Arabidopsis thaliana: one gene and its partners. The protein of the gene in region 1 interacts with the protein of each later gene in a pairwise test. Each region holds a gene or a part of one and is shown on either strand. Other genes may lie near its edges.

Region 1 (7,591 bases):
TATAAGAATCAAAATTATCATATTATAAGAATCCTAAAAATACTAAAAATGACTGAACTTCCAGATCTTGGGAAGGTTCTTACCCTACCACAGTTTGGAGGGCTTCCTCAATGGGCTGTTGTTGGTAAGTTTAATCTTTGATTTCTTTCATTAATTAATCCTGATTTACTAAGTAGTAAACTTATCAATTTTAAGTAAGTGATTTATGAATTCTCTATCCGTTTAGGTGACACATTTCCTGTTGGGTGTGCATTTGATGAATCTAACGTACACCACAAGGTACATATAACTCAATATATTTTGCTAGTTACTCAAAGTATTGATAGTTCTTTTTTTGACATCCTCAAAATATTGATAGTTAGAACCTAGTTGATTAATATTTACCAAACAAGTGATTTCTATAATATATTTTTTTCCTTTTCAACCATGATTGTAGTATTTTATGGAAAACCCTGATTTTAACAACCCTAAGTACAATACCAAAGCTGGAATTTATTCTGAAGGCTGTGGACTTGAAAATGTTCTTATGTCATGGGGACATGATGACTACATGTATCTGGTAAATTCTTTAATTCCTTTCTATAGTTTATCAACTATAATCATTAATTATGATTACATGATTCACAAAACGATTATTATATGGTTAAATAGGTGGCCAAGGAGAATGGAAGCACCTTACCATCCCCGGGACTATTCATCATCCGATACCATTCCTTTTATCGTAAGCACAATAAAACTATTAACTAACTAAACACTTAATTAGTAACATAATTTGATTGATGAATTAACATTAATGTATTGTAGCATTGCACAAGGCTGGAGCTTACACTCACCTTATGAACGAGGAAGACAAGGAGAATCTCAAATGGCTTCATGTTTTTAAGTAATTTATTTCTCTAAATAAAAGTCTTTCTTAATTAATTAAACCCGATTTTTTTTTCCCGATGATCAGATTTTTAATACTTATATTGTATGTTTTATTATATAGCAAGTATGACTTATACAGCAAGAGCAAAGTACACGTCAATGTCGAGAAGGTTAAGCCGTACTACATGTCTCTTATCAAGAAAGTGAGGATCTTTACCATATTCTGCTTTTGAAAAATAGGATATGTACTTAATTTTTACAGCATTGTGATATAATTTTTGTTTGGGATTTTTTTCAGTATTTCCCGGAAAATCTGAGGTGGTGAAAACGGCATCGAGGCCGTCCAAAAAAAGTCTACTATTAGAAAGATAAAATGGTGTGTGTGTTTGATTACTTGTCGTTTAAGCATATTATTGCCCAGTTAATAAAGTTGTATTGTTACATTAGCTAATGTTAATGCTAATGTTGATACAAACGGTAATTGTATCTCGTCTGTCCTATTATAAACTAAAATGATATTTTCTTCTTTCATCTTCTGCTTTAAAAAATTTATTTATTATGGTCTGTCGTATTACACTATTACTTTTTTAACCAAAAAAAAGTATTACACTATTACTGAGATTTTTTTGCAAATTCAGTATCAGACAAATCATTATTAGACCAAGATTTGATCCAAACAAGTTATCAAATTCTCAATTATCAATAATAGAAACCTTCAAGAAAAAAAAAACACTTTTGACTGCATTAAATCATTCAGATTTAGCTTTCTCATTCTTTAAAAGATCAGTTACCAAAAAGAAACTTTTTGAAGTATCTATGTGTGAAAACAATTTAGCTCTCTTGCATCCTATTCTCTTCATTTTGAGTGTGAAAAAACATATACAAGAACAAATATAGGATCAAAGTAACGAAGATTATTACTTCATTCATTTATTCAGTTGTGGAAAATGCAAAAAGGATTACAAAACTAAACATCTAGAAGAAAACTAAAATTTGTGTTTGTGTTGTGTATGCACATACACAAAAGGGCAAATTCGTTAAAATAACAATTATTTCACTTTCGCCTGAAACGGCATCGGTTACAGAACCCTCTGAGTATACATATGCCATTATTATGCCCTGCAACTTCTTCACTTAGTGACCTCTTTAGTCACAGGAGGAATATCGACAGCTCCGTCGTCAAGAAGCGGTGTTTCCGGCAACTCTTTCTTCTCTTCAGATGTATCCTTAGGCCCCAAGAAACTTGGCTGGTTCGTAGAAGACAATAGCCTCGCCCACATTCTATCCGTAATCACTACATTGTTCTGGGTCTCTGTTATCCTCTGCAAGACAAACAAAAAAACAATGACACGATTCAGAATTGCTCACAAGTACACGATCAGATTCAATTCAGGACCATCCCGCACACATTAGATCTGTATTAGTAACTTACGTAGAAAGGGATGTATGTTTGTCTTCCATTGACAAGACCACTGGTGTAGCCAGTGTAACCAGCCATTGCACCATGAACCGCGCTCTGAGCAAGAAGTGTACAGTAAACATTGTCTGATGCATTACTTGGAACAGCCCGGATCATGTATGTAGGATCAATGTATTTGAGATTCATCACCATCTTATTCTTCTTAAAATGATCCTACAACAAGAGGAAATAAACCCTATGAGGAAATTTTCTGTAAAAGGCATAAGAATCTCATGATCTTGAAAGTTTTTAACTCTTACCTTGATGCTTTGTGATAGCCACAAGCCGACATCTTTAAGAAGTTTGTTCCCAGAAGCATCCATAGGAGTAGATTCCATGCTTTTGCACATCAAATCCTGTCCTGCACCCTCAGCAAGAACAATCACCATGTGACCATGATCCTTCAGCCGTCTCTCTATGAACTCAAAGAGTCCACCTTCTCCTTCGAGGTAAAATGGTGACTCGGGAATCAAGCAACAGTCAACATCTCTGCTGGCTAATGTAGCATACATCGCTATGTACCCTGTAGTACAACACCCGCCTAGCATTAGTCAGTAACAAATCGAAAAGGTCTTTTAAGTTGTATGTTTCAAAACAAAGACTTACCGCTGTAACGACCCATAAGCTTGACAAAACCGATACCATTCTCATTACTCTCGGCTTCAACATGTGCTGCGTTAATCGCTCGTTGAGCTTCCTCCACAGCAGTGTCAAACCCAAAAGATTTATCTATCACCGGAATATCATTATCAATAGTTTTTGGAATTCCAACCACAGCAACTTTTAGTCGACGTCTTCTAATTTCCTACATGGTTATATACAATCTAAGTTCAGTTGTTGATTGTTAAAACTTAAAACTTACAACTGTTATTCTGAAATATCACAATGGAATTACCTCAAATATTACTGAAGCACCTCGCTGGGTTCCATCTCCTCCAATAATGTAAACCTAAATGATAACAGATACTACATCAAGAAAAGGTTGACAAACTTTTTCACATACAACGTAAAAAGCAGTGGCTGTGTTTATTCCCTAACCTGATTGATTCCTCGATCTTGAATGCTATCAACTATCTTGTTGGTATCATGTCCACCTCTTGAGGTCCCAATGATTGTTCCTCCGCGTTTATGGATATCATTCACGACTTTAGAGTTTAAGGGGATAGTATTCTTGGCGTAAAATCCTCTGTATCCACCCTATAAGATTTCAACAAATGAGAATCGTTTGGACAATAGTTATGAAATCCAAAATGAAACCGAAGAGATTAATTATGATTCACCAAACTTACATCGATTCCAAGAATTCTCTTTACTCCATACATGTATGATAAGCTGCTCACAACTTCTCTAATCACGGTATTGAGACCGGGACAGAGACCTCCACATGTAACTATACAAGCATGCACTTCGTCAGACTCAAAGTAAACCTTTTGACGTGGACCAGCACGCCTGAAATGGACTCCTCTTGGACCATCCTTGTGAACAACAACCTAAATAACACGAAAATAAAACAGAGGATAGAAAAAGTGAGCCTTTTACTTTTAAAAATCTCACTTTCAACAAGACATGATCATCTAACACCATTCTTCAGACAATTACAGGTAAAAAAGGATTATGCTTGATAAATTACCTTCTCAGGGACACTATCATCAGCATGAACAAAGTATTGCCTGATAAAAAACATCCAAATGAGAACAAAAACTATGAACTTTAAGCAATGGAAACGTCTGAAATAGGTGAAGATACTTACTTAACCACTGAGTAAGCTGGATTGTCTTGCAATGGATTTGGATAAGTCTGCAATAACATCAAAACCACGAATTATCACCATTTTATTAAGAGTAAACCAGAAACAGATCAGAACATTGAAACCCAAAGCTAAAGATTCCTCCTTTGTTAACTAGACGATATCAGATTCGATCTCTTTGTGCAAATCGAGAAATTTTCAAATCAATTTAGAACCAATCAGAGATCAAGTGAAACATACAGGAAGATCAGGAAGGTAATCAATGAGATGAGGAACGTCTTGTAGAATATAACCACCAGGACCGTTGACAATCTTCGGCTTGTTACTTCTCGGACTAGACATAACGCTGACGATCAACAAATCAGATCAAACTCTCTCCACGAAGATGAAATGACAAATCGTGAATCAAACCCGTTGATCCAATATACTTGATAACCCAATTTAGAAGGAGAAAGAACAAATGAGAAGAGGTAAGAGAGAGAGTGAGAGACCAATAGAGACGAAGAAAGTTCTAGCTTTTCGAGATGGGGAATTTGATCGAACAGGTGGTGGGCATTAAAGTATTTGAAGAAAAATTAGTGAAAAGGAGAATAATTTTATATTATATACATACACACATTTACATGTATGTATATGTTAATTGGGTACAAGATTCTCGTGTATATAATATATAAAGCTGACGATCACAGTGGGGAAAAAAACCAACGTTTGAAACTTGGAGAAGATGATTCACATTCTTCTAGAACAAGACTTTATTTTTAAGTTTCCAATTATTGACAACGATTAATTTTGGGCCTTGAAAAACAAGTTCTAAATTTTAAAATGATTTTTTTTCTTTTTGGATTTTTTTGTGTGATATTTTCAGTATTTCAGATCTTTAGGAATATTCGGGTGAAAATCTTTTAAAGAGAGAAAGACAAATCCAATTTTGTTGTGTCGGCTAATCACTATTTTTTATGTTTTGTGTGTTAGTTTAATAAGTTTTCATTGATTTGCCGATTCTTTTGTTGTCAAGAAACTATTGCTGGTTACAAAGAGGTAACAAGATATAATAATTTTAAAAATGAAAATCAGAGTTGACAAAAAGTTATTAGTTCATAATGCTATCAGATGACATACTTGCTTAGTCGTTTTACATCTTTAAAACAATATATATGTGAAATATGTAACTGTATGATTCTTCATAATGTACTAAAATAATGCGTATTTGCCTGTCAATTCTCGAATCTGAATTAAAGTAGTAATAAAGTTGCATTAAATCTGGTCGTTGTTTTTACTGTTTCTTTAATACTATGACTCTCGCTAATGTCCCGAAAAAAAAAAAAAAAATAAAAAAAAATCCATATAACCCAAATATTAAATATTTTTTTTTTCGTAAATTAAACGTTACATAGTTTTTGGCTTTTTGCCATAAGAAAATAAATGTATTTAGTTTGCAGATGGATATGAAATTAATCCATCTCCTGCATAAGTACCCGTGAGTCCCATAAGGCTAATAGGACATAACGTATTGCATATACGTACCTACTCAGTCGGATATAAAATCAAATTTCTGAAATACGAATGAAGCTAATTGGATCTTTGCCAAAGCCCAATATTCAGTTACAGGTTGATAAATGGGTCATGCAGTGACCCAATAGTTGATTTAATAAAGGCCATGCACTGGCTAAGTTTTACAAGCAAAAGTTGAAAAAATACCATTTCGTTTCGAGTATAATGGACAACACCACACTAGTTTGAGTCATAATGTTTGAATCTTGATGGATATTTTAAAGACTTCTAGGCTCTTAATCATTAACAAGACAATATGAATATTTGCTGAATACTCGATTAATCCAAATATAATGGTTTGTTTACTTACTTACTACACACCATGGATAATGCTCTTATCAACTATAGTATGTATACTTGTGTTTTCGTAGCAGACTAATTTTTTTATTTTTTTAATAATAAAACTGAATAAGCACATTATCATACTCTTATCAATTTTTTCAGCTGATATCTATGTTTATTCTAGTCTCAGACGGTACTCTTATCTCCAGTAGATTTCTGACCTTTTTTCGTTTTTCATCTTTTCAAAGGAGAAGAAAAAATGCAAAACCTAATATAATCATTTAGATCAAATAAATGATGACCGTTTGATCTGTTGTTCAAACAAATCTGCGGCTAGGCCCCATCTCCCGACATCATCATTGGACCCACACCAGTGTAGGACCATTGGGTTCAAATCCCACAAGAATATGTTACATATTTCAAATAATGTGAAAGAAAGCAAAAAAGAAAAAGATTCTTAAAAACATGTGTTTGCCCTATAATCCAAAGAGATTATCCTTAAATGCTTTGTTTCCTATGTTCTTTTCCTGCGTTCTTTATTTTAAAAATATTGATAATCTTCTCCTAAATTAATCCGTAATTATGTTCAAAAACATTCAGAAGGTCAGAGAAGGTACCAGGTTTTATACTATTAAAATGGATGTACAAACAAATATTTATTTCAAACAAAAGAGCGAGATTCAACAGTTAATTAAAGCACAAGATTATTAAATAAAATCTTTAAAATTAGATTTTTATCTTTTTGATAAAAAGAAAGCCTTACATTTTTTACAGCTTGACTCCAACTAAAACTTATAAATATCTCACAATTCGTAATTTCCTTATATTGCTCAAAAAAAGTTGACATGGTCTGATATGTCTCATTTAGCTGAGTAATACTAATTTTGTATGTACAAAGCCTATTATAATATTAATACATACCACCTTAGAATACGAATACACTAATAATAATAAATAAAATAGATAGATAAAACAAAAAGGAAATAAATAAAAGGTTTGGTCGATAGACTGAAGATGAGTCGCACAAGACAAGAGAGAGTAAAATTAGGGTTTTTAACCTTTTCAGTCTCAACTCCTTTTATTTCCTTTACTCTTCGTCTTCCTCATTTCTTCTTCATTTCTTTATCTACTTGACATAGATTTTTCAGTACTTAAAGTCGTATCTACATGTGTTTCTGTGTCTCTTCTGGAAACAAAGAGAGATATTAATAACAATAATTATAATACTTAAAAAGCATAAATCACAAGTTATTATTTTTCTCTACTATATATATTGAGATCACTCCCGTCTTTATCAAATTCTTCTTCCTCTTACATTTTCCCTATCCAATCGATCTCACGCAGATCTGGTAATCTTGATATTTGTTTGTACTTCTTCTTTATTATTGTCATGTTTTGAAATTGTCTATGTGTTCTTTTATCACGCATATATGCATATTAATGACATCAACTCATCTTATCAATTTCATTCTTTTACCTTTTATTAATTTTGGTAGATCTCGTATTGTCATACAAATCTGGTAATCTTTATATTTACTAACTATTTTTGTCTTCTTTTTTATTATATGCTTTGAATCGTGTATATATGCATCGATCAATATCTTTTAAAAAATTACTTTTTGTTGTTCATAAACTGCAGATCAATTTCTCATCAAATCATTTAGAGATCAAAAGAAAACTATGAA
Region 2 (6,544 bases), on another chromosome or scaffold:
ATTCCAATAACAAATCTGGAAAAATTCATTTCAATTATATAAGTTAAGGTTACTGAAAACTGCCAAAAATTCAGAAGAAATTACGGAAACTAAATCTCGTTACTATAATTACGATGTAATTACCGTTAAAAAGGCAATAAATCTAGTACTAGTGATTAATTAACGGTGCCATTAAATTCAGTTATGTGTGTTTTAAGTGTTAACTACGAGACAATTCGCCAGCTGGCGAGTCCCACTTCCCTGATTTCATCAGGCTTTTATATTTATTCACTGCTTCATAGTAATAATTACTTCCCAAAAGATTTTTTTTTGAATTAGAAACTGAATATTTAAAAAAATAAATAACTTAACGGAAACTGTTACCTGACGGCGGATTCATGGAAACGTTTATGAGTCTGTTTTTGACGGAGAACGTGAAGGTCACCGCCGGGACAAAACTCCGTTAATAAACAGAGCCATTTCGGAGAATCAATGGCGGCGTAAAGCGTCGGAAGAAACGGATGATCAAGAGATTCGAGAATCTCTCTCTCCGTCTTAGCTCTACCTTCTTTGCTTCTGCTCGCGAGCTCCTTTTTATCCATAACTTTCGCTGCTAACAGAGGTAATTTAACGGCGGTGGTTTCTGTTACGGCGGTTAGGGATTTGAATTCGGCTAAGAAAACAGAGCCGATGTCGCCGGAACCGAGACGGAGACGGAATCTGAGATCGGAGAGTGAGAGAGATGATCGGAGTGAAGGAGGGAGTTTCGAAGATGAGAATGAACCGTGAGCTGATGGTGCTGGTGTTAAAGCTGCGGCGGAGGAGGAAGAGCGAGAACCGGAGCTTGTGCTTCGATTCACGGTGGTTCCGGCTGATGTAAAGCTTACACTCTGTAAGTCGTCGGTTAATTCGTCAATCCATGGCTCCATTTTCCGATCTACTGAGAGTGACGACGAGAGAGAGAAGAAGAAGAAGAAGAAGAGAGGGAGAGAAAGAGAGAAGTAACTGTGAGATTTTGCCTTTTTGGGGAAGAGAAAAAATAGAATCAAAAGAAGATGGCAAAGTTGTAATTTAAGGGTTGAGATATGGTGCGTTTCGTAATTTAAGGTAATAGTTCGATTGTTAAGGAGATGATGATACAGTATTCTATAATTGAGATGTTTTATTTATGTAAATAGACAATAATTAGGGAATTATTTGAGAGGGATTTTTGATTTCTCTATGAATTTTTAAGATCTTTGGTATAGGATTTGTTTCAAAAGAGAGAAACAAAGAGACATATAAATCTAGGCCCCTACAGAATTAAGATAATGACATATACATATCTTGTGTTTGTTCTATTTCAGTTGTGATTACTAGTATTTTCTTCGTATGGTACAATTATAAATAAATATCTAATCACTGTCTTTTGAATATTATGTCACCAAGTACAAGGATGGTGTTATTGGTGAACAATTTGTATCGTGAACTCAAATCCCTATTGCACGAACCTCAGGTTAGTGGTCGACTGGTCGCTCGGCCTCGTTTTCATTTCCTTTGAAACCATTATGGTTTAGATATTGGTTTAACTCAATTGCATATACCTAACCGGTTTGACTCGGGTGAATATGTTAGATAAGGAAAGTGTATATAACCCTTGTATTTTCTCATTAATGAAATCAGCAGAAACATTTTAGGTTGGATAAGGAAAGTGTCTATAACCATATCATTGAAAGACAAATTGCTTGGGTCGAAACCGGTTTTGTTAAGTCCGGCCCTGGATATATTACCAATTTGTAACACTCGTCTTAAACCGGATATTTTCTAGTCAGACCGAAAAAATACAAGTGAAAGAGGTTCAAATAAATTGATAACTTAGAACATTCATAACAATGACCAAAACAAATCTTTTCAATGAGGTTTGTAAATTGTAACTATATATCCGAATTAAAAAATAATCGTCATAAGTACTAACTGTTTTTCGGAGAATGAAATGGGCTATCTGTTGAAAACCTTAGGCCTGAGTTTAAAGACCATCTGTACAATTGGGCCAATAAGTAACGCATTATCCATCAACAAAGTACTGAAACATGAGACACTTAGACCATCTCCATCGGGGGTTTCTTGTAAGAATTTCTCACAATTAAAAAAAAAAAATAATAAAAATGAAGGAAAAAGAGTGTAGAAAGTTTCTCACTTGAGAAACTCTGAGATACTCTTTACAACCCATCATGATAATTCTCTTCTCATTATTGGTTCAACTTTTTAACAAAAATATTTTTTTAATCAAAAAATCAAATTATAATATAATATTAATTTTTTGTTTGTTTGAGAAACTTTGTGGGTTTCTCATGGATAAAAAGGCCCTTAACTTGTCATAGAAGTTACAACACAACATGAAAGTTAAACATCGCCGGCCAAAACAAAAATATTTCTGTGAATTTACACAAAATTATTTGCATTACCGACCATAATGTTCTCCTCAGTACCTTCAACACAATACAACAATACATTAACAAAATTGGTCTTCTAGCATTAGCCTCGTCTCTAAAATCTAACATCTTCTTCTACTCCTAATCCAACAATTGTTTATGTATATTCCCAATTATACCCCTCTATTACTTTGCTTATTACGGAAAAGGAGTTCAAAGAGCAGAAGAAGAAAACTCGTATATCCCAAATCTCCAACTTTTCAGGGGAATGATGATGTACTGTCCCAACCTCACGGCTTCTCTAACAATCCCTTCATATTTACCATTTTGCCACTACACTAGACAATTTCGTCCTTCTCATTTCCGATCATCTGATAAAAACCCGAATCTCGTTTCTATCATCCGAGCAAAACCCAGAATTTCTCATTCGCTTAGGTGCTTTGTATCATCTTCAATGGCGACTCCTCCTCCGACGCAGAGCAGCGAAACCAAACCTTACTCTGTTCTTTTTGTCTGTCTCGGAAACATTTGTCGCAGCCCAGCGGCTGAAGGTGTCTTTAGAGATATCGTGAAGAAGAGAGGTCTCGATTCCAAATTCAACATTGATTCCGCTGGAACAATTGATTATCACGAGGTATGATAATTAGTTCCAAAACAATTAATCTAATTTTAGGGTTTATGAGAGATGCTTGATTCATGGTTGATTTGAAATATTGGTGAATGATGGTTTTGTATGTAGAAAGGTTTGGTTTTGGTTTTAGGTTTTTTTGGTGGATGTAATTTGGTAGGAATACAGAGTTATAGAGACTTTGAAATTCATGTTTCTGAATCAATTTTGATGTGAAATTGCTCTTCTTACTAGGGAAGAGCAAAAACAGTAATCTATTTTTATGGTGATTGATGCTTTGATTGGAACAATTAGGCAATGGTGCTTTCAGATTTTGGTGGATGTAATGTGGTTGTAAATTAGGAGCAGTGGAGACTTTGGAATTTATGTTTCTGATTTGTGAAAATGTTGGTTTTTTAAAAGGGGAATATGGCGGATCCAAGAATGAGAAGTGCTGCGAAACGTCGCGGGATTGAGATAACATCACTATCCAGACCGATCAAGGCATCTGATTTCAGAGAATTTGATCTCATTCTTGCAATGGATGACCAGAACAAAGGTAGCTGATAGAGTAATTTATTCAACCTTTGTAGGGTCTGATCGATTTCTATGCAAATGGGATTCAACATAGGATAGAGACTTTTGCAAGTTGGGATCTGATTAGAGTTATATATGTAGAATTGAAATAAGTATGAGTTTGAATGTTTGATGTTTGCAGAGGATATATTGAAGGCTTATAATGTGTGGAAAGCCAGAGGGAATTTCCCGCCCGATGCAGATAAGAAGGTACCGTTGGTGTGTGTTTGCTGGACTTTGGAACTCTATTTAGTTGATAGATTTTCGTTGAATTTTCAGGTTAAGCTAATGTGTTCTTATTGCAAGAAACACAATGACAAGTTTGTTCCTGATCCATATTATGGTGGAGCCCAAGGTTTTGAGAAGGTAATTACCATTAGACTCTAAAGAAGCTGAATGCAGATATTTAATTTGGTTCATACCATTAGAGGTTGTCTATCAAAATGGTTGAGTCAGTCTATAAGACTTTAAAATGGCATTACCAGTGTCACTCCCAAGTAACTTTTCCATTCCCGAATTTTAGTGTTTTATGTGGACAAAACTCACTTGGAAACATGAATCTTGATCTCTTACTTGTTCTTTCACAGGTACTGGACTTGCTTGAAGATGCTTGTGAGTCTTTGCTGGATAGTATCACTGCGCAAAGTTGATGATACTACAAGTACAAAGTCCCAATCCTAGAACCTTTGTTGTTTTTGCACATAGAACTGAAAAGTTCTCTTATTATATTTAAGTGTCATCAGTGATGACAATAGAGTGAGAACTGATGTGAAGCTTGGATCTTGATCTTGTTGGTGTTTTCCTTGAAAAACCCTTTGTTAAATGATCTACTGATGGATCATTATTATTGAGATTGATAGCTTCAGTGATGTCAATAGTTTGTGAGGAATGATCTTCCTGATTCTTAAGAATCATAGAGAGTGGCACTCTTTACACGCTTGAATAATACGAATTCTTTTGTTCGATCATTATTATTAGGAAAGAAATAGATTTAAAAAAAAAAGAATGTGTGGACGTGAAGTGTTGTTGTTTGAGATGATAACAGAATATTTTCTCTTATCATTATGTGGCTTCCGAGAAATTAAGTGAATGGTGGTGGAGCATATGGACAATGATTTTGTCGTTTGCAATATTTTCCACGAAATCTCACTATATTTTCCATGAAACATCAATGGAGTTTTTCTGTGCCAATAGACTCGTCAACGGTCTATATCCTCATTCACACAAATTGTTTGAACTACCAAAATTCCATTAAACCCGTGTGATTCTTCAACTCTCTGGAGATTTCTCATCGTTTTATGCATCGGTGAGATTTTCATTTTTTTACTCCTCACTGTCTGAACTAAGTTCCAACTATTTTTAAGTTTTGCTTAAGGTTTTATCACTGTGGATTTGAATTGATTTGATGATAATGCTTTATTTGTTTTCGATTAGTGTTTTGAGCCCATTTCTTGATTATGTGTTCTTGATGGTGGGAATTAATGGTTGCAGCAGTGAATCATCAATAATCTAAGTTCTCATGGGTTCTGCAATGAGCTTGAGCTGTTCCAAGAGGAAAGCAACGAGTCAGGATGTTGATTCCGAATCTTGTAAAAGACGAAAGACATGCTCAACAAACGATGCTGAGAATTGCATATTCATTCCGGATGAGTCATCTTGGAGTTTATGTGCCAACAGAGTCATCACTGGTCTGTATCCATTCACATAAAGGCCATCTTAAATCTTGATCCACTCTTTACCATACTAATGAATTATTCTTATTTCCCTTGGCTCAGTGGCAGCCGTAGCTTTAACAAATTTCAGATTCCAACAAGATAACCAAGAAAGTAATTCTTCTTCTTTATCTCTTCCCTCCCTTGCAACTTCTGTGTCTCGAAACTGGAAACACGATGTCTTCCCGAGCTTCCACGGAGCAGATGTCCGAAGAACCTTTCTTAGTCACATCATGGAATCGTTCAGAAGAAAGGGAATTGACACATTCATTGATAATAATATAGAGAGGAGTAAGTCGATCGGTCCTGAGCTCAAAGAAGCTATCAAAGGATCAAAGATCGCAATCGTTTTGCTCTCAAGAAAATATGCTTCTTCGTCTTGGTGTCTTGATGAGTTGGCCGAGATCATGAAATGCAGGCAAATGGTGGGTCAGATTGTCATGACCATTTTCTATGAAGTGGAGCCAACTGACATAAAGAAACAGACCGGTGAATTTGGAAAAGCCTTCACAAAAACATGTAGAGGTAAACCAAAAGAGCAAGTTGAGAGATGGAGAAAAGCTTTGGAGGATGTGGCAACAATCGCCGGATATCATTCTCACAGCTGGTTTGTCTTCTTGATTTATATTCTCCTTAATTAATATTTCCTTGTTAAAGTGTATTCTTTCAGATCTTCGTGACCATTTTATCGCAACGATTGTATATTGATTTGATATCTATCCTCTATTGTCAGGAGGAATGAAGCAGACATGATTGAGAAAATAGCCACTGATGTTTCAAACATGTTAAATAGTTTCACACCATCAAGAGATTTCGACGGGTTAGTAGGGATGAGAGCTCATATGGATATGCTGGAACAATTGTTGCGCTTAGATTTGGATGAAGTAAGGATAATCGGGATTTGGGGACCGCCTGGGATTGGTAAGACAACTATCGCCAGATTTCTGCTTAACCAAGTCTCCGACAGATTCCAACTTAGTGCAATCATGGTCAATATCAAAGGATGCTATCCAAGACCTTGTTTCGATGAGTACAGTGCACAATTGCAACTACAAAACCAAATGTTGTCCCAGATGATCAATCATAAAGATATCATGATTTCTCATTTAGGAGTGGCTCAAGAACGGTTGAGAGACAAGAAAGTGTTTCTTGTTCTCGATGAAGTGGATCAATTAGGACAACTAGATGCCTTGGCGAAAGAAACTCGATGGTTTGGTCCTGGAAGTCGGATTATTATCACAACAGAAGATCTAGGAGTT
Region 3 (7,741 bases), 3.5 Mb from region 1:
TTATGAACAACTTACGAGTGAAGTGTAATAGCTTCTCCCTTCTCAAGCAACTGAGCGAACTGACCCACATAGACTGAAGGAGTAATAGATGCAGAGCTGCTATCAATCTCTTGAGCTATTTCAGACATTGACAACAACAGTTCCAGGGCAGATTTCTTATCCTTCAAGTAATGAGCAGCCAACTGCGTGTAAAACGAAAATTTCCCAGTGGATAAGAACATATTATATTTTCAACATACTGTACCTAGGAACAGACAGCTCAGAAATTTATGAGAAAGAGGACGAAAAATCCAGCATTTGCTTAGAGGTAGGTGTTTAAGTTTATGTAGTATTGTTTTTAACTAAATGGTAAAAGACACAGAAAAGATTTAACACAAAATGCACCACCAAGTTTAGATATGTTCCGACTATGTGTTACATAGAGCAGAATTGACTGACCTGATAATAATAGGCAGGGTAAAACTCAAACTCAGTCAAAGATATTTCCGCAGTTCCTTGGTTTGAGGATGTTAAGCTCTGACCAGTTGCTGAGCTTGTCTCCAGCAACTCAGCAAAGACAAGAAACTGCCTACTCATCCAGTCCCAATGGAGAAAAATAAATTCTGTGGATCCGACAACCTTTTCATATGATGTTTTATGTTGATGAAACCATGTCACTGCTTCTATGAGTTTTCCACCATGCAACAAAAGCGTTGATATCTTGAAATGCAATTGCTCAGCTATGATTTTGATCTCGACCAAGCGTTGTATTGCAGGCAACCTAGTCGATGTCCCGATCATCTGTTTGCATAAACAAAATTGCTCGTCGAAATTGAATGTGTGGAAACCGCAGGCAAAGATATGTAATAATAAGAAAGCAATGACCATATATGCATCAAAAGGAACTTCTTGACTAGAAGCAGAATACATATTAGCGTGACAGATGGGTTGGGAAAAAACAAAATACTTAGAGATAATAAAGACCTCGTGCAAGGAATGGTATGCGTCTTCATAAAACTTCAGTGCTTCACCCCAATCTCTACGAAACTCTGCATATACAGCGACCTAGCAGTCATGGCATGAATGAGCCTTCCTTTTCCCAGATACTTTGGAACAAAATGATTAGACTTAGCAGAGGTAACGAGAAAAGCTTACTTTAAAACAGTAGCGAACATTCAAATCAAGAGAATTGGAACTCCTTTTCTCAATTCGGCTTTTGATTCTCCGTCCTTCTTCTCTGTAATAAGAAAGTGCCAACTCTGCAAAAGCAGAAGCGAGTCTGCAAACATACCGTGTTGAGATGCATTGAAGGAAAAGCCTCTTGTTCTAGGTGCAAAGTAAAAGAGGAGAGAAACATACCTGGAGAGAGAGAGCGTGAGTTCAGAGACTATGCTGGAATTGAAGAAGAGCACGTACTTAGAATCTAATTCTGCCCGCTTTCGCAATGCCACCAGACGATCGTCGCTAATGTCCTCTAAAAACAAGTCGGGAAGGAGTAAGTCACCAGTAGTTCCGAGAGGAAAATGAAAAGAATAATCGGATAAAATGCGCTACCGTGGGGAGAAGACTGGACCACGACAACCACCAGTTTGATGTTTTTGGGACGGATTACGGATCTAGCAAGCAATTGAGATCGCAGTGTTAATTTGAGGGTTTGAAACAAAGGAGGGGAAACAAGGAAACAAATATAAAGGGAGATGAGGAAATACTTGAGGCTGTCGAGATCGGAGCAGACCTGTAGCCATTGAGTTGGATCGCCGAAGATGTGATGTGAGGGAAAGAAGGCGGCGACAAGTGCAGGGACCTTGGTGCGATGCTTAAGCAACCAGTCCCGTTTCAAAATACCGCCGCATCTGGAAGGAATGGGAGAAGCAGAATCGGAGACGCTGAGAGGATCTCTGAAGGAGGAGGTTCGGCTGATCTGATCATCATGAGCAAGGAGGAGAGAGATTTGAGAGAAGTCGGGGAAGGCCAGAGCGTTGATGGGAGGCTGCTGGGAGTGGAGATACTTAGTAATGGACGCGTGTAGCTCCGCGTATCCGAAGAGAGCCACCAGACTTACCGGTGGCGTCCTGAGCTCTTCCGGGTATTCCTCCATCTCGCCGGGGAGTGTCTGAGACTCGGACGCGTTGAATCGAGCAAGGAAGGATCTGACACATTCATTTTACGTGGGCTTTTAACGGGCCTTTGGATAAGGGAATGGACTTGTATAGCTGTCAGATTGTTCATCTGGCCCAGAATATGATGTGAAATACTTAATGGGTTTTCAACGGGCCTTTAATCTTTAAGGGTATGAACCACTGCAGTTGTCAGATCTGATTTAAACTAATGTGGTTTCTAAGGATGTAGTATCATCAGGCCCATTATAAGCCCACTTCTTAAAGATGCATCGACTCGTCAAAAAAATAAAATAATACAAAGAATTCGAATTGGTTGCATATACAGAAACATTGGATTTTACAAAATGGAAGAAAGAATTATTGGAAGAGAATGAGAAGCTGTCAAGCGGAGGAGCGGTTGATGAAGTCAATGCAGTCTGCAATTGCATCGGCGTAGAAAGAGTTAGAGCGACGTATAGATGTGTAATCAAGACCGTCTTCTCTGACCAGCGGAGGCCTTCTGCAGCACCAGCTCCTGAGAAGCCTGAAAAAGCTTCTCACTCTCGCACGCAGTCTCTTTGTCTTCTGCCTCAGCCTAATTCCTCTTCCACTCGGCCATCGTATCCTTGCTCTTTCCATCTTTCAACTCTGTTGCATATGCGTCAGATTGTTGAGTTTTCATGTATATGCAAATTATCTATATATCGAGAGGCGAGGGCTTTCATGTCTGACTTTTAGAAGTGGTTGTTGAGAATTTTTGAAGACTTTTTTAATGATTGATCTGGTGCCCACGTGTCATTTTATGCTAGAGGGAGGTGTTGGTTAGTTGGAAAACTAGCTTCCTAACAAAAAAAACACATGTCTAACGTACTCGATAAAAACATATAATCTTCTCATTCATCAAGCATGTTGCAAGAGGGCTTTGAAATTGAGTTTGAAAAGCAAAGTTCCATTTGCTCTATTAACAAAATAAAGCCCATTATTAAAACCAACAGATTACTATAAGGCCCAATATCAACTTCCTAAACTAAGCGGGTGAAGATTTTGTTAGCCATTAGTGGTAATTTCTGATCCCATTGCTGCTCCTCTCTCCGGAGATACAAAGGCGAATCTGACCAGTAAGAAAGATGGCAGTCGAGATGGCCTCTCAGTCTCAGGTCTCTTTCTTGCGTCTTTAATCCGAATCTACGACGATCAATTCTTCGCTCTCTGAATTAATAATATGATCACAGGTTTTGGTGGAAGAGAAATCGAGTGTTAGAATCTTGACACTAAACAGACCAAAGCAGCTGAATGCTCTGTCCTTCCACATGGTATCGAATATTTCCCTTCTTGTACATGCGTACTGTATTGGCTTAGACTCATTTTTTTCTGTAGATCTCTCGATTGCTGCAACTGTTCCTTGCATTTGAGGAGGACCCTAGTGTGAAACTTGTCATCCTAAAGGTAATCATTATCCTTATCTCTTCCGCTTACACACATTTAGTACTGAATAACTTTGCCACAGGGTCATGGGAGAGCCTTTTGTGCTGGTGGCGATGTTGCAGCTGTTGTTCGTGACATCAATCAAGGTTTACCACCCATTCTTTTCTGTTTCTTACTTTCAGCTTTTATACACTCTTTCTCTATCTTCGTTCGTTGACTAGGTAACTGGAGACTCGGTGCCAATTACTTCTCATCTGAATACATGCTCAACTATGTTATGGCCACATATAGCAAAGCTCAGGTCTCGCTATAATTTCGTTTTGTTTTTGTAAAATCACTCCCGAGTGGATAAACTCATCAATTCGTATAGGTTTCAATCTTGAATGGTATCGTCATGGGAGGCGGAGCTGGTGTATCCGTCCATGGTCGATTTCGTATTGCAACTGAGAACACGGTAATCTTTCCTTAAACATGTCCATGGATGACAAATAGGTCGCTCCAAAATATGCTCATATCTTTCGACTTTCTCCAAGGTTTTTGCCATGCCTGAGACAGCTCTGGGGCTCTTTCCAGATGTAGGCGCCTCCTACTTCTTGTCAAGGCTCCCTGGTTTTTTTGGTAACAGAAGCTATATTTCCTTTTTTTGCATCTTCTTAAAGCCACCAAAGTTTGAAAATGCTTTCTTGTCTTTTTTGTTCAGGGGAGTATGTTGGCCTCACAGGAGCTAGATTAGATGGTGCTGAAATGCTTGCTTGTGGCCTTGCAACTCATTTTGTGCCTTCAACGGTATGAACTTCCTTTGCGTGCGTCTATTTCGTAAGACATTCTGAATTGACTTTACACATCAGATATTGTATAGCTACTAGTGTCAAGCACTATCTGCTTCACCAAGGATTGCTACTTAGTTAGGTTTACTCCTTTCCACAGAGGTTGACTGCATTAGAAGCAGATCTTTGCAGAATTAATTCAAATGATCCAACTTTTGCCTCAACAATTCTCGATGCATACACCCAGCATCCGCGCCTGAAACAGCAGAGTGCTTACCGCAGGCAAGTCTATATGATTTTTATCTCTTTTACTCTTTCTACTAGTATGGTTTTACCTGATTACATTTTCTCGGTTATTGACCATGATTATAACACATTTTTTCTATAATTTCAATTTCGTATTGCTGTCAGGTTTTCAATCGCTCTTTACAGAACTCATTTCTCATCTGATCTTTAATTGAAAATTTATAAAAGTGCAGAGGACAGTTATTTTTTATCTCCCCGTTTGTTGCGCAGGTTAGATGTTATTGATAGGTGTTTCTCAAGGAGAACAGTCGAAGAAATTATATCTGCACTTGTAAGCTTTTCATTTATATATAGAGATGTTGACTTGCGATCCTGAGTTGACTGATTTACCTTTGACAACGCACTCTACCATCATATGTGTTGCTTAGGAGAGAGAGGCCACTCAAGAAGCAGATGGTTGGATCTCAGCTACCATTCAAGCATTGAAGAAGGGTTCACCAGCAAGCCTTAAAATCTCTCTTAGATCGGTTAGTTCCCAGAATGTGCATCACAGGCAATGTTGACAAAGAGCTGACTGTGAGTATATATTTCAGATAAGGGAAGGGCGATTGCAGGGGGTGGGGCAGTGTCTTATCCGCGAGTATAGAATGGTGTGTCATGTGATGAAGGGAGAAATCAGCAAAGATTTTGTGGAGGTTTTGCAAGCTTTTTCCATCTGAAACCGTCTTTGTTGTAGACCGTAGTTACAACAGCGTGTCTTTACTTATGCAGGGGTGCAGAGCCATATTGGTAGACAAAGATAAGAACCCAAAGGTTTAACAAGTCTCTCCATTTGTTATTTGTGGTTGGTAATATGTGACATTGTTGATAACAATATCTGAAATTATAGTGGGAGCCAAGGCGACTGGAGGACATGAAGGATAGCATGGTGGAGCAGTACTTCGAGAGAGTGGAACGGGAGGATGATCTAAAGCTTCCGCCAAGGAATAACTTGCCTGCTTTAGGGATCGCAAAGCTGTGAAGTGGAGAAGGTGATGGAGCACTATTGTTTACGTCTGTGGGAAAGAAAAAAGAAAATAAATGTAACAACACTTGTGTTGAATAGGACTTGCATACATTACATAAATCATTATTGTATTTGAGAATTGACACCAAAGCAGCAGAGCAGAATTGTGTTAAGATTTGTTAATGGTGTTGGAGGCACAACCATGGCAAACGGACGTGGAAGCACGTCTATAGTCATTGTTCATTTATTTGATTGAGATTCCTCCTTGGTCTCATCTTCTGAAAACGAAAAATAATTAGAAAATCAGGTGAATCGTGAAGTATTGAATGAGAAGAGGCAATTAAAAATCTCCCGTGACTCTCGTCTCCCCATCTCTCTCTCTCCCTCTGCCCAAATTTCTGGGGCAAATTTGTTCATCAGATCTACTACAATCTCTCTTTTTCTTCGGGTATGGAGGGCCAACGAGGCAGTAATTCTTCGTTGAGCTCTGGCAATGGCACCGAAGTCGCCACCGACGTTTCTTCTTGCTTCTATGTTCCCAATCCCTCTGGAACCGATTTCGATGCCGAGTCGTCTTCTCTTCCTCCTCTGTAAGTCTTCTTTGAATTTTTAAAAACATTCACTCTCTTGCTGCTGTCTCTGTTGATCCTTCTTCTTTGAAAATTTGAAAACATTCTTAGTCTCTCGCTCTGTCACAGCTCCCCAGCTCCTCAAGTGGCATTGTCAATTCCTGCGGAGCTTGCCGCCGCCATTCCCCTCATCGATCGCTTCCAGGTTGAAGCTTTTCTGCGGCTAATGCAGAAACAAATCCAGTCTGCTGGGAAGCGTGGCTTCTTCTATTCCAAAAAGTCCTCTGGCTCCAATGTCCGCGAGCGCTTCACATTTGAGGATATGCTTTGCTTTCAAAAGGTTTTTCTTTCCCCCCCTTTCTTCCCCATTGACAATCCATTGACTGAATATGTCTCTCTCCCCTTCCTTCCTTCAGGATCCAATCCCCACATCTCTCCTCAAGATTAACAGCGATCTCGTCAGCCGTGCTACCAAGTTGTTTCATCTCATCTTAAAATATATGGGTGTTGATTCATCTGATCGATCTACGCCTCCCAGTTTAGATGAACGCATTGACCTCGTTGGAAAGCTCTTCAAAAAAACTTTGAAGCGTGTTGAACTCAGGGACGAACTTTTTGCCCAAATCTCCAAACAGACTAGACATAATCCTGACAGGCAATACTTGATCAAAGCTTGGGAATTGATGTACTTATGTGCCTCCTCTATGCCTCCTAGCAAAGATATCGGTGGATATCTATCTGAGTATATTCATAATGTCGCACACGATGCAACTATTGAACCGGATGCTCAGGTTCTTGCTGTTAACACTTTGAAAGCTTTAAAGCGCTCTATCAAAGCTGGTCCTAGGCACACCACACCTGGTCGTGAAGAAATTGAAGCCCTTTTGACCGGTAGAAAGCTCACAACCATTGTCTTCTTTCTCGATGAAACTTTTGAAGAAATTTCATATGACATGGCTACCACAGTGTCTGATGCTGTTGAGGTATCTTCTTGCTTTCTTTTTTCATAATTTACCGCTGATCATATTCTTGTCCCTTTTTCTCTCACTGCATTGACATCTGTTTCAGGAGCTAGCTGGAACAATTAAACTATCAGCTTTCTCTAGCTTTAGTTTGTTTGAATGTCGTAAAGTTGTTTCAAGTTCTAAATCATCTGATCCCGGAAATGGTATGCTTTCATATGACTGGCTTCGTCATATATTGTGAAGTAATACAACATTATCGATCATTTTTCTATCTGTGCACTTGCAGAGGAATATATAGGATTGGATGATAACAAGTATATTGGAGATCTCCTCGCAGAATTTAAAGCTATTAAAGATCGAAATAAAGGAGAGATACTACACTGCAAACTGGTATTTAAAAAAAAATTATTCCGAGAGTCTGATGAAGCTGTAACAGATCTGATGTTTGTGCAACTTTCGTATGTTCAAGTGAGCATTTTCTTCATTGGTGACATTTATTTCCACACAAAAGGCTTGCCTTTCGTTGCTGACACACATATATGCAGCTGCAACATGACTATTTGCTAGGAAACTATCCTGTTGGGAGGGACGATGCTGCACAGCTTTGTGCCTTGCAAATTCTTGTTGGGATTGGGTTTGTCAATAGTCCAGAGTCATGCATGTTAGTTTTCTTAAGCTCCGCCAT
Region 4 (8,678 bases), on another chromosome or scaffold:
GACGGAATCCACGGCAGTTACCTCCGACAAAGCCTTCGTTGTGGCACACGTTGGCGCAGTTTGATGCACTCACGCATGTACCCTTGAACCTATGGCTCTGCGACTCACAAGTGCGTGCCTCCACAGTGACTGGTCCCATCCCTAGACAAAATCAAAACACAAAACGAACACTTCGTTTAGACCATAGCTTAGTTTCATGTGTCTCATGCTTGATGCATATTACTTAACTTTCGAAGTGAACTTAACTATAATTAAATGAGCATTCACAAGAATAATCGATAGAAACCATAAATACAGAATGTTATAAAAAATGAAACTATCTATATATGTTAAAATATGTTATCATAAAACATGGGTTATGTGTGAAAATTAGATATTAGGTTATGAGAAACAAACCAGTGGCGACGAATATCATGAACATGATGAGAACAGCTGAGATCAAACGCATAGAGAGCTTCATTGCAAGAGAGATAAAGAGAGAGTTCGAAAGTAGTGTTCAAGTGTGTTGCTGCTAGTGAGGAAAATGGCACTATATAAAGAGAGTAAAGAGGTATTAAAACGTTCAAGATAATTCACATTTTACGCGTTTGTTAGATATTTTTGGATAAATATCATTTACTTTATTTTTGGAGTATTCACTTTGGATTTGAATAAGAGTGGTGTGAGTTTCTCGATTTTATTTGCTTTACCGACACTTTCATAGGTGTAAATTGTGGTCCGTAACGTAAGGTGACAAGACACGCAGATGTTGTGGAGTCCATCTACCGTTTCGAGAAGTCATTCATGCACCAAATTTTGTATCAGAAAAAAACAAATAAACGTATAGAAAAGTAAATAATTGAGTTTGCGGATGTTGTGGAGTCCACAATGATAATGGCTATGTAAAAAAAAAACTAAAAAGTAACAACAAGTGGAATAGTCACGGGATAGAGTATTTTTATCATATACCAAAATGAAAAAGTTAGTGGGTTATATAAAAATTAAACTTTGTATTTATATAGCAAGTTAAAACGCAATTGATAATAAATATCGAATACTTTTCTAATTATTACTTAGATAAGTAATATTTGGGATTAGTTACTCTAAATTAAGTAGTATAATTGTGGCTATATTTTAAAGAACTGTTATGGCAGACAAAAAGCTGGTTGCTTTCTCTTTATCATGTGACTTTATAAGTTATACACGATTATCATTTTCTCACTTCACACAATTCAACAAGTTTCCGGTTGGCCTTAGTTTTCAGGTTCAATTTTAAGTGTAAATTGACCATGAGAACACCTTCAAAACGTGACTTGGCAATGGCAGTTACCACAAAGAATCCAAACTTAGTATGGCTTTGATTTACTAGTGAATTATTTTGTATAGTCATATTCAATTATTTAATCGCAATAATATAATCATGAATTTGAACATTTTCATAGATATTTATCTTCAAATGTAGCAAAAAAAAAAGACTATCTAGAATTTATTCCAAGTTATCTAGAATTTTTCAGCTAAGAAAAACTTATACTATGTGACATTCTTGAACCAATCCTAATAGAACTAGTTGTTCATTGTTAGGTTTCGGCAAAGACAATGGGAAAACAATCTAGTGAGATTTGTGTCTTATACAACTCTGACGAATAAAGATACTTGAGACCTTTAATCATTGCGTGAGGTTTTCAATTTTGATACCTACAAATACAGCTAAGTCACTCCTTTATACAATCTTTGATGATCGAAGACTAAACTATCCTGAAGGTTCACTTCATTTGATCACTGATCCACATTTTAGTGTTTGGAACAATTGTGACTTTTAGGTCTAAAGAAGGAAATTTTTGGGTTATAATTTACATGCGTAGAAGAAAATATAACTATCGTGATCTATTAAATTTAAGTCTAATAATAGCTAGTGGTTACACATGTTTAGAATAACACATTAACTTCGTTTCTTGACTAATTTTACCTCAAAACAAAAAAGGTAACAATAATGTTATCCCATGAGAAGAGAAGCAAGAATCTCTCCCATGGTTTTCTCAGGCGTGTCTCCGTTGTCATCTACGTGAACTCCGGACTCTAGAACCGCCGCATCAAGAACTAGTTTCCGCTTCGCTATCTCGTAGATGTTCTCATCAACCGTCGATTTCGTCACCAGTCTGCACCAGCATTGCCAGAGTTAATACAGATATATGTGAGAATACAAAACAGAGCACACATAAACCAATCCAAACCACAATTTTGTTCTGAAAGTTATCTAAACTGATTCAAGGATTTAAAGCTCAAACCTGAAGATAGTGACTGGTTTTGTTTGACCAATACGATGGCAACGATCTTCAGCTTGCCGATCAATCTGTGGATTAAAATCCATATCGTGAATAATGACTGTATCCGCTCCGGTTAAATTAAGACCTTGTCCACCTGCTCGAGTTGACAAGAGACATGCGAATATCGACTTATCGTTGTTGAATGTGTCGACTATGGTTTGTCTATCTGTAACTTGAGTACTGTTGAAAACAAAAGGAAAATGACTTAAGCTTCTTCCTTTTTGTAGAATCGTCAAAAATGTGACAAATTACTCTTTTTTCTTTTATTACCTGCCGTCAAGTCTTCGGTATGTAACGCCGATGACATCAAGTGTCCATTCTAAGATATCGAGCATCGATGTCCATTGACTAAATATTAGAACACGATGGCCGGATTTCTTCATTGAAGGGAGAAGCTCAGCTAATGTCTGATACATAAAGGGAGATTTAGATCGCTCACAGGTTTAGTTATACTTAATCAGTTTCACAAAGAAGACTTATGAAATGAAGAAGAATATCACGTACCCGACATTTTGCTGAGAGCATGACATGTTTGTCTGAGAGAGTTCCTTTGGTATCGTTAACTCCATATTGGAACAAAAGCTATGGAAAGAAACAAGTTAGTTAGCTTCTTCAATTGCATAACATGTTTGTTAATGGATATTCAACTGCTTTTGGAAAGAGAAACATTTACCTGGTGGATACGGAAATCGTTGAAACCCTTAACTTCCTCGATAACTCTATCCAAGGAACATTCAAATCCAAATGCACCGATTGGGTGCAATTTCCTGGCGATGCGAATGACATCCTCATCGCTGTATATCCGCCTAATTAACAATGGATGGTTTGCAATCTGTACAACCAAAATTTAATAACACATGAATAACACACTCATTTGGCACAAAAGGGGCTTTGTATTAGTAGCTGAGAATTACCTTCCGGAATTGAGTAAAATAGTTTGAAATTTGACGCTTTGGAAGTGCCTTGGCTAAAGAATTCAAGGATTTTGATGAAAGCTTCACAAGCCGTGCTTGAGAAGCAGCACGATACTCCTCTATGGCTTCTTTATATGCATCTTCCTGCTTTCTCTCCATTAATACATATTCAACCTGCATTGGATTGATGGGAAATTAATGAGATTTGCAGCTAGAAGATTAATATCGTGTACTTAATTGTGCATAGATATATCCATACCCGCTGTATCTTCGGAACAAGTTGCTGCATGACATCAGATTTTAAACGCCTCAAGATGAAAGGACCTAAGATAGATTTCATTCGAGTAATCAACTCAGTATCTTCTGCATTCAACAACTTCTTCAAGTCAACATTCTCTGTCGTAAATATATCAGGCAACATGAACTCCAACAGCGACCATAGTTCCTGCATAGACCAAACATATGCAGGGAATAAGCATTGTATGACCACATGAAGAAATGTCGTCTATATTAGGTAATTAGATCCTGAAAAAATCAACAGAAACCAACCGTACATGCAAATCATTTTGTAGAGGCGTTCCTGTAAGCATAAGACGCTGGTTTGCGTTTCTGGCCACAGACATCAAGTTTTTCCACCTATAACTATTCTTATCCTTTAACGCATGGGCTTCATCCATCAAAACACAGCTCCAGCGCCACCGTTTCAGTACTTTTCGGTCATCTTTCTGTTGTTCACTGTAAAATTCCAACATCTGTGAGTAACAGGAAAAGCCAAAAAGCAAATAAAAGCATCAAGAGTTGCACCTATGCCGTTCAAACAGAGAGTAACACACAAGAAGCACATTGAATGGTGGTGGCTTCCCAGCTTTTGACAAAGAATTCAATTCTCTTGAGTAGGCTGCTCTCGCAGCTCCGTGGTATTGAAGTACAGTAAACGACGGACACCATTTTCTGAGCTCTCTCTCCCAGTTTTCCAAGACAGAGGCAGGGCATACAACCAAATGAGGACCAGGGTCATTGTTTAAGCGACTTAGGAGGGTTAAATATGTGATTGCCTAAGGTAAATGAGAACAAAATTAGTTCTTTATAAGATAAAGAAACAAAGAAAACTTATCCAGTAATAACAGAGCAAAATGCACCTGAATGGTCTTTCCAAGACCCATCTCATCGGCTAAAATGGCTACAAACAATAGAAAGTGAGTTACAAAGTGACATTCACGCTAAAAAGGTTTACAGATCGAAACTAGTAAAAACACATACCTCCTTCAATTCCTTTCTTATACAACAGAAGAAGAAAGTTAACACCAACTAACTGGTACGGCTTGAGTATAGGCTGAAAATCAGAATCCTCTGCTTTACATGCATCATCAATATCATTCTGCGATCATCACAGATTCAACCCAAAAGTAAACAAGTTTTAGTTAACAAAACAGTAAACTCTAACCAAACCAATCAAAGCTTACCACCAAAATATGCTATCTAATCAAAAGTTACTTCACAATTGTATAAGGAAGACACTCTAAATCGTCTCAAAGCAACTACTTTAAGAACACCAAAGTGATAATTTCCAGTACCTGTGTGACAATCCTGACAGTAGAAGTTTCAACTTCAGAGTATCTATCAGTAACACCAGAAGAAGTACCATAAAGCTCTTTTCGAAGATCCGCTGAGATTTTAGCACACTTTTGCAATGCCTTCCCCACAACATCTTCATCTTCTCCTCTCCTTCCTCCACTTCCTCCTCCTCCTCCTCCAAATTCATCCTCACTAGCACTACTCTCAGCCTCATCATCATCATCATCACTCGCTTCTTCATCTTCAATCACAAATCTCCTACCAACTCTCGCAGCGCGCATCACAACCTTAGTCTCTTCCACTTCTTCTTCATCCTCTAACAACAAATCCTCACCATTCACAATCTTCACATCCGAATCCGAATCTCCCAAATCCTCAATCTCAACACAATCACCATCGCTGCTATTACTCTCAATCGTCATCGCCGTCGAAGGTCTCCTAAACGCAAAAGACTCAATCGACGGCGTTGGATTCGTCGCCGCGCGAGTCTTCTTCGGAGTCCGTGGTCGTTTAAGAACTCGCGAAGCGTTAAACGAGTGTTGAGACCACTCTTCCTCGGAGATTTCGTCGAAATCGCGTTTCATCTTCCGAGAATTTACGAATCCCAGATTGAATTGAAATTGAGAAGAAGGGGAAAAAAAATTCACATGAAGAAAATTGAAAACCCTAGATTGAGATTGAAGTGACTATTATTGCATCGAATTGAAGAAGAAGAAGAAGATGAAATTAAAACGAATTTAGCGGAGAAGGAAGGGAAAGGTCAAGATTTCAAAGAAAGGTTAGAGACTCAACAACGTGTTGCTTCTTACAAAAGAGCGGCATCCTCCAAAAGCTATGCGCGCGGACTTAATCTCTTAATGGGCCCCAAGAAATGGGCTCTAATGAGTACTTAATGGTGAACTTAAGGGATCCGAAGAAATGGGCCCAACGACTTCACTTTCTCGACAAATCTAAAAGCTTGTGGTTTGTTTGACGCACTTGAAAAGGGTTTTTAAATCCATGGGGTTTGCTTGAAGATTTGGTTTTGAAATGATGGTTGAGGTGAGAAATTATTTGGTTGACATGTATTCATAATGTGGAAGAATCTGAGAGTGTGTTTCGTTGGATGGTGGATACTGGATAGGAGTCTTATAAGCTGGATATGTACATTGAGGGGTATGGTAATAGAGCTTTGGCTACGTTTGGAATGTTGCGGTAAAGATAACCTCGTCGTTCTCGATCTTAATCCTCATTCTACAGGTTATTATCATTTGTATATATATGTTTACTAGCTAATCCATTAACTCTGAAAATTAATATTAACTCTCGGAATGGCAGAAACAGAGTTGTTATTGAGTTTCTCTGACCTTGCCATCTTGGTGACGGCAGTTTCAAATACTAAATATTTCCATACAATTTTGGTTCATCTAAAACAACTGGGTCTTGGGCTGTTTGTGGTATATCTCTCCTTATATAGGCTCTTTTGTGTGCGTGACTGTGTGCTATTTCATATTACTAACTTGAAATCATATTACAACCCAATCAGGGAGGCCCTGATTGAATATGGCCCGGCACTGACCCATTGCAGTTGGTACGATCTCAGTATAACTTAAAAAGCATCGATGGTAATGAAGAGAGGATCAAGTTGAGAAGTCACCTGTTACTTAAATATGTTGTCGTTTGTAAACTAAAATAAAACTAAATTGTATAAGATTAAAAAGCCCAAGTGAAAAGGAGAAAATCAAACTTTACGGTCGAATAATAATATATCAATAATATTTTCTCAAAGCTCTTAAAGTGATATTGGAGATTTTGTGATATATCGTTTTAAAATCTATTCAGATCGGTTGAGAGTTGGTTACTCGTTCAGGATTAATTAGGTTTGATTCAAAACCAATCGGTTCGATTGTTTTGCATTGAACATTCTGAAAGGTTGAAGAATTGAACCAAAGAAGAAAAGCAATATATTAATTTTCATACAAGAATCTAACAAATTTTAAAAAATTCTCTATTGATTGGTGTATCATGTGTATTAATATACGATATGTTATATTATAAACGATTTTATTAGATAAAAACAATTAAAAAAAAGTTAGTACAACAAAACCTAATCAAGTTAAATGAAGAGAAAACGAGGGTTTTGTCTTAAAGCTCACCAGAAAGATACGAATGAGAAAAATGTGGTACCCACAACACACCCCCGCATGTGGACACATTTCACCGTTTTAACAGTGACACCCAAACCGTAACCATCCTTCTTAATTCTGTCAAATTAAATTATAAGAAAGAAAAAAAGTAGCTTTATTTTATATTAATCGAAATAAAATAAAATGATAGAGACAGAGAGGGGACCTTAGAGACATACTTTTCAAGATCATTTCATATATGGCTTATTTTTAAAAGAAGAAGAACACAAAACAGTAGAGAGAGAAAGAGATATAGAGATAGAGAGAGATAGGGCTTTGAGGTTTGTGTTTGTATTATAATACATAATATATAGGAATAGTGTCTTCTTCTTCATCATCATCTTCTATCTCATCATCATCATCATGCATCATCTTCTTCTTGGTTCTTTCTTTAGCTCCGATTTATAGCTTTTAATTTTGACTATTTTTTTTCCTTCTTCTACTTGGTTTCTTTCTCTTGATCTCAGGTACAAGAAAAATACAACTTAGAAATCTTTCCTCTTAATTCTTTCAAAAGTTTAGGAACAAAAAACAAAAGTATAAACTCTTAATTTGTTTTTCTTTGTTTATGTCTTCTAGTGAAATGGTTTTTATAAAATTTCTTCATGTCGTCAATCTCTATGGATTTTTCCTGTTCTTATAATTCCTCCCTTCGTTTTCTTCTTAACTTTTTTGTCTTACGAATTATTTGTAGATTATTCTCTTCCACGCAAAGAAGAAGATCTAAAGATGTCGTCATCATCATATAACACAAGCGTTATTCCTTCATCATCATCCTCTGCTCAGCCTTTCTTCATCACCAGCTCCGGCACCGGAGATAACGACTTTAACCGGAAAGATACTTTTATGTCAATGATTCAACAACCTAACTCCTCAGCTCCACCACCCAAGAAACGAAGAAACCAACCCGGAAACCCAAGCAAGTATCTCTTACATATAAATCTCTATATATTTATCACCTTTCTATAAGAATCACTATATATAAGCTTTAAGATAATACCAAGAAGAAAAAGAACCCTAATCATTTGTTCTATTTTGTTTTGTATATCTAGCTAGTATCAAGATTTCATATATATTGACAGGCCAGTATATCTTATATGTTTATACGTGTATATGTCATTTGATTTATGTTTACATGTGTGTGTATCATTTTTTTCGATATAGTCTACATAGATTGACATTTTGGGTCTAATTGGTGACTTAATTTAAATGATTAAATTCTTTAATTATATGAAACAGATCCTGATGCGGAAGTGGTAGCATTATCTCCAAAGACACTAATGGCTACAAACAGATTCATATGCGATGTATGTAACAAAGGGTTTCAAAGAGAACAAAATCTACAGCTTCACCGAAGAGGACACAATCTCCCATGGAAGCTGAAACAAAAATCAACCAAAGAAGTGAAGAGGAAAGTGTATCTTTGTCCGGAGCCAACGTGCGTTCACCATGACCCGTCACGTGCTCTCGGAGACCTCACCGGAATCAAGAAGCATTATTACCGTAAACATGGCGAAAAGAAGTGGAAATGTGAGAAATGTTCTAAGCGTTACGCTGTTCAATCAGATTGGAAAGCTCACTCTAAGACTTGTGGTACTAAAGAGTATCGATGTGACTGTGGTACCATCTTCTCTAGGTAACTAATCTCTATCCATTTCATTTAAATAATTTGTTCGTATTTGATTTAAGTGATGAAACGTATAATATATGTGTCAGTGTGT

Evidence for each region.
Region 2: the proteins of PFK7 (region 1) and AT3G44620 interact in a two-hybrid assay, tested with the Arabidopsis thaliana proteins (one large-scale study listed by BioGRID).
Region 3: the proteins of PFK7 (region 1) and CHY1 interact in a two-hybrid assay, tested with the Arabidopsis thaliana proteins (one large-scale study listed by BioGRID).
Region 4: the proteins of PFK7 (region 1) and ETL1 interact in a two-hybrid assay, tested with the Arabidopsis thaliana proteins (one large-scale study listed by BioGRID).

Annotation. Positions count from the first base shown.
Region 1 is NC_003076.8:22,921,135-22,928,725, reverse strand, and holds PFK7 (phosphofructokinase 7), read right to left. Parts: upstream 4,923-7,591; 5' UTR 4,416-4,922; coding exon 4,314-4,415; intron 4,124-4,313; coding exon 4,077-4,123; intron 3,997-4,076; coding exon 3,957-3,996; intron 3,817-3,956; coding exon 3,616-3,816; intron 3,524-3,615; coding exon 3,365-3,523; intron 3,276-3,364; coding exon 3,222-3,275; intron 3,132-3,221; coding exon 2,933-3,131; intron 2,850-2,932; coding exon 2,587-2,849; intron 2,501-2,586; coding exon 2,300-2,500; intron 2,190-2,299; coding exon 1,998-2,189; 3' UTR 1,763-1,997; downstream 1-1,762. Other genes in the region: MIOX5 (myo-inositol oxygenase 5), read left to right, coding at 65-124, 227-279, 437-559, 652-721, 805-883, 989-1,070, 1,166-1,192; NAC099 (NAC domain containing protein 99), read left to right, coding at 7,587-7,591. UniProt on the Arabidopsis thaliana protein: Catalyzes the phosphorylation of D-fructose 6-phosphate to fructose 1,6-bisphosphate by ATP, the first committing step of glycolysis.
Region 2 is NC_003074.8:16,191,200-16,197,743, forward strand, and holds AT3G44620 (protein-tyrosine phosphatase), read left to right. Parts: upstream 1-2,629; 5' UTR 2,630-2,658; coding exon 2,659-3,024; intron 3,025-3,420; coding exon 3,421-3,556; intron 3,557-3,715; coding exon 3,716-3,939; intron 3,940-4,160; coding exon 4,161-4,223; 3' UTR 4,224-4,634; downstream 4,635-6,544. Other genes in the region: AT3G44610 (Protein kinase superfamily protein), read right to left, coding at 364-908; AT3G44630 (Disease resistance protein (TIR-NBS-LRR class) family), read left to right, coding at 5,093-5,261, 5,349-5,892, 6,019-6,544.
Region 3 is NC_003076.8:26,374,626-26,382,366, reverse strand, and holds CHY1 (beta-hydroxyisobutyryl-CoA hydrolase 1), read left to right. Parts: upstream 1-2,685; 5' UTR 2,686-2,698; exon of another isoform or gene 2,699-2,749; intron 2,750-3,119; 5' UTR 3,120-3,205; coding exon 3,206-3,235; intron 3,236-3,310; coding exon 3,311-3,391; intron 3,392-3,455; coding exon 3,456-3,524; intron 3,525-3,585; coding exon 3,586-3,649; intron 3,650-3,724; coding exon 3,725-3,804; intron 3,805-3,873; coding exon 3,874-3,957; intron 3,958-4,036; coding exon 4,037-4,121; intron 4,122-4,203; coding exon 4,204-4,289; intron 4,290-4,430; coding exon 4,431-4,552; intron 4,553-4,786; coding exon 4,787-4,847; intron 4,848-4,944; coding exon 4,945-5,043; intron 5,044-5,109; coding exon 5,110-5,211; coding exon of another isoform or gene 5,212-5,235; exon of another isoform or gene 5,236-5,287; coding exon 5,288-5,329; intron 5,330-5,405; coding exon 5,406-5,537; 3' UTR 5,538-5,757; downstream 5,758-7,741. Other genes in the region: AT5G65950 (trafficking protein particle complex subunit-like protein), read right to left, coding at 16-182, 439-780, 964-1,044, 1,135-1,258, 1,339-1,453, 1,534-1,595, 1,689-2,077; ZWI (kinesin-like calmodulin-binding protein (ZWICHEL)), read left to right, coding at 5,973-6,112, 6,203-6,431, 6,508-7,074, 7,160-7,259, 7,343-7,524, 7,602-7,717. UniProt on the Arabidopsis thaliana protein: Involved in valine catabolism. May be indirectly involved in benzoic acid biosynthesis and in cold signaling and cold tolerance.
Region 4 is NC_003071.7:520,179-528,856, reverse strand, and holds ETL1 (SNF2 domain-containing protein / helicase domain-containing protein), read right to left. Parts: upstream 5,635-8,678; 5' UTR 5,377-5,634; coding exon 4,792-5,376; intron 4,596-4,791; coding exon 4,478-4,595; intron 4,398-4,477; coding exon 4,357-4,397; intron 4,273-4,356; coding exon 4,022-4,272; intron 3,953-4,021; coding exon 3,772-3,952; intron 3,663-3,771; coding exon 3,477-3,662; intron 3,392-3,476; coding exon 3,218-3,391; intron 3,136-3,217; coding exon 2,977-3,135; intron 2,886-2,976; coding exon 2,808-2,885; intron 2,711-2,807; coding exon 2,574-2,710; intron 2,484-2,573; coding exon 2,265-2,483; intron 2,136-2,264; coding exon 1,973-2,135; 3' UTR 1,789-1,972; downstream 1-1,788. Other genes in the region: LCR69 (low-molecular-weight cysteine-rich 69), read right to left, coding at 1-141, 397-460; IDD4 (indeterminate(ID)-domain 4), read left to right, coding at 7,687-7,876, 8,197-8,593. UniProt on the Arabidopsis thaliana protein: DNA helicase that possesses intrinsic ATP-dependent nucleosome-remodeling activity and is both required for DNA repair and heterochromatin organization.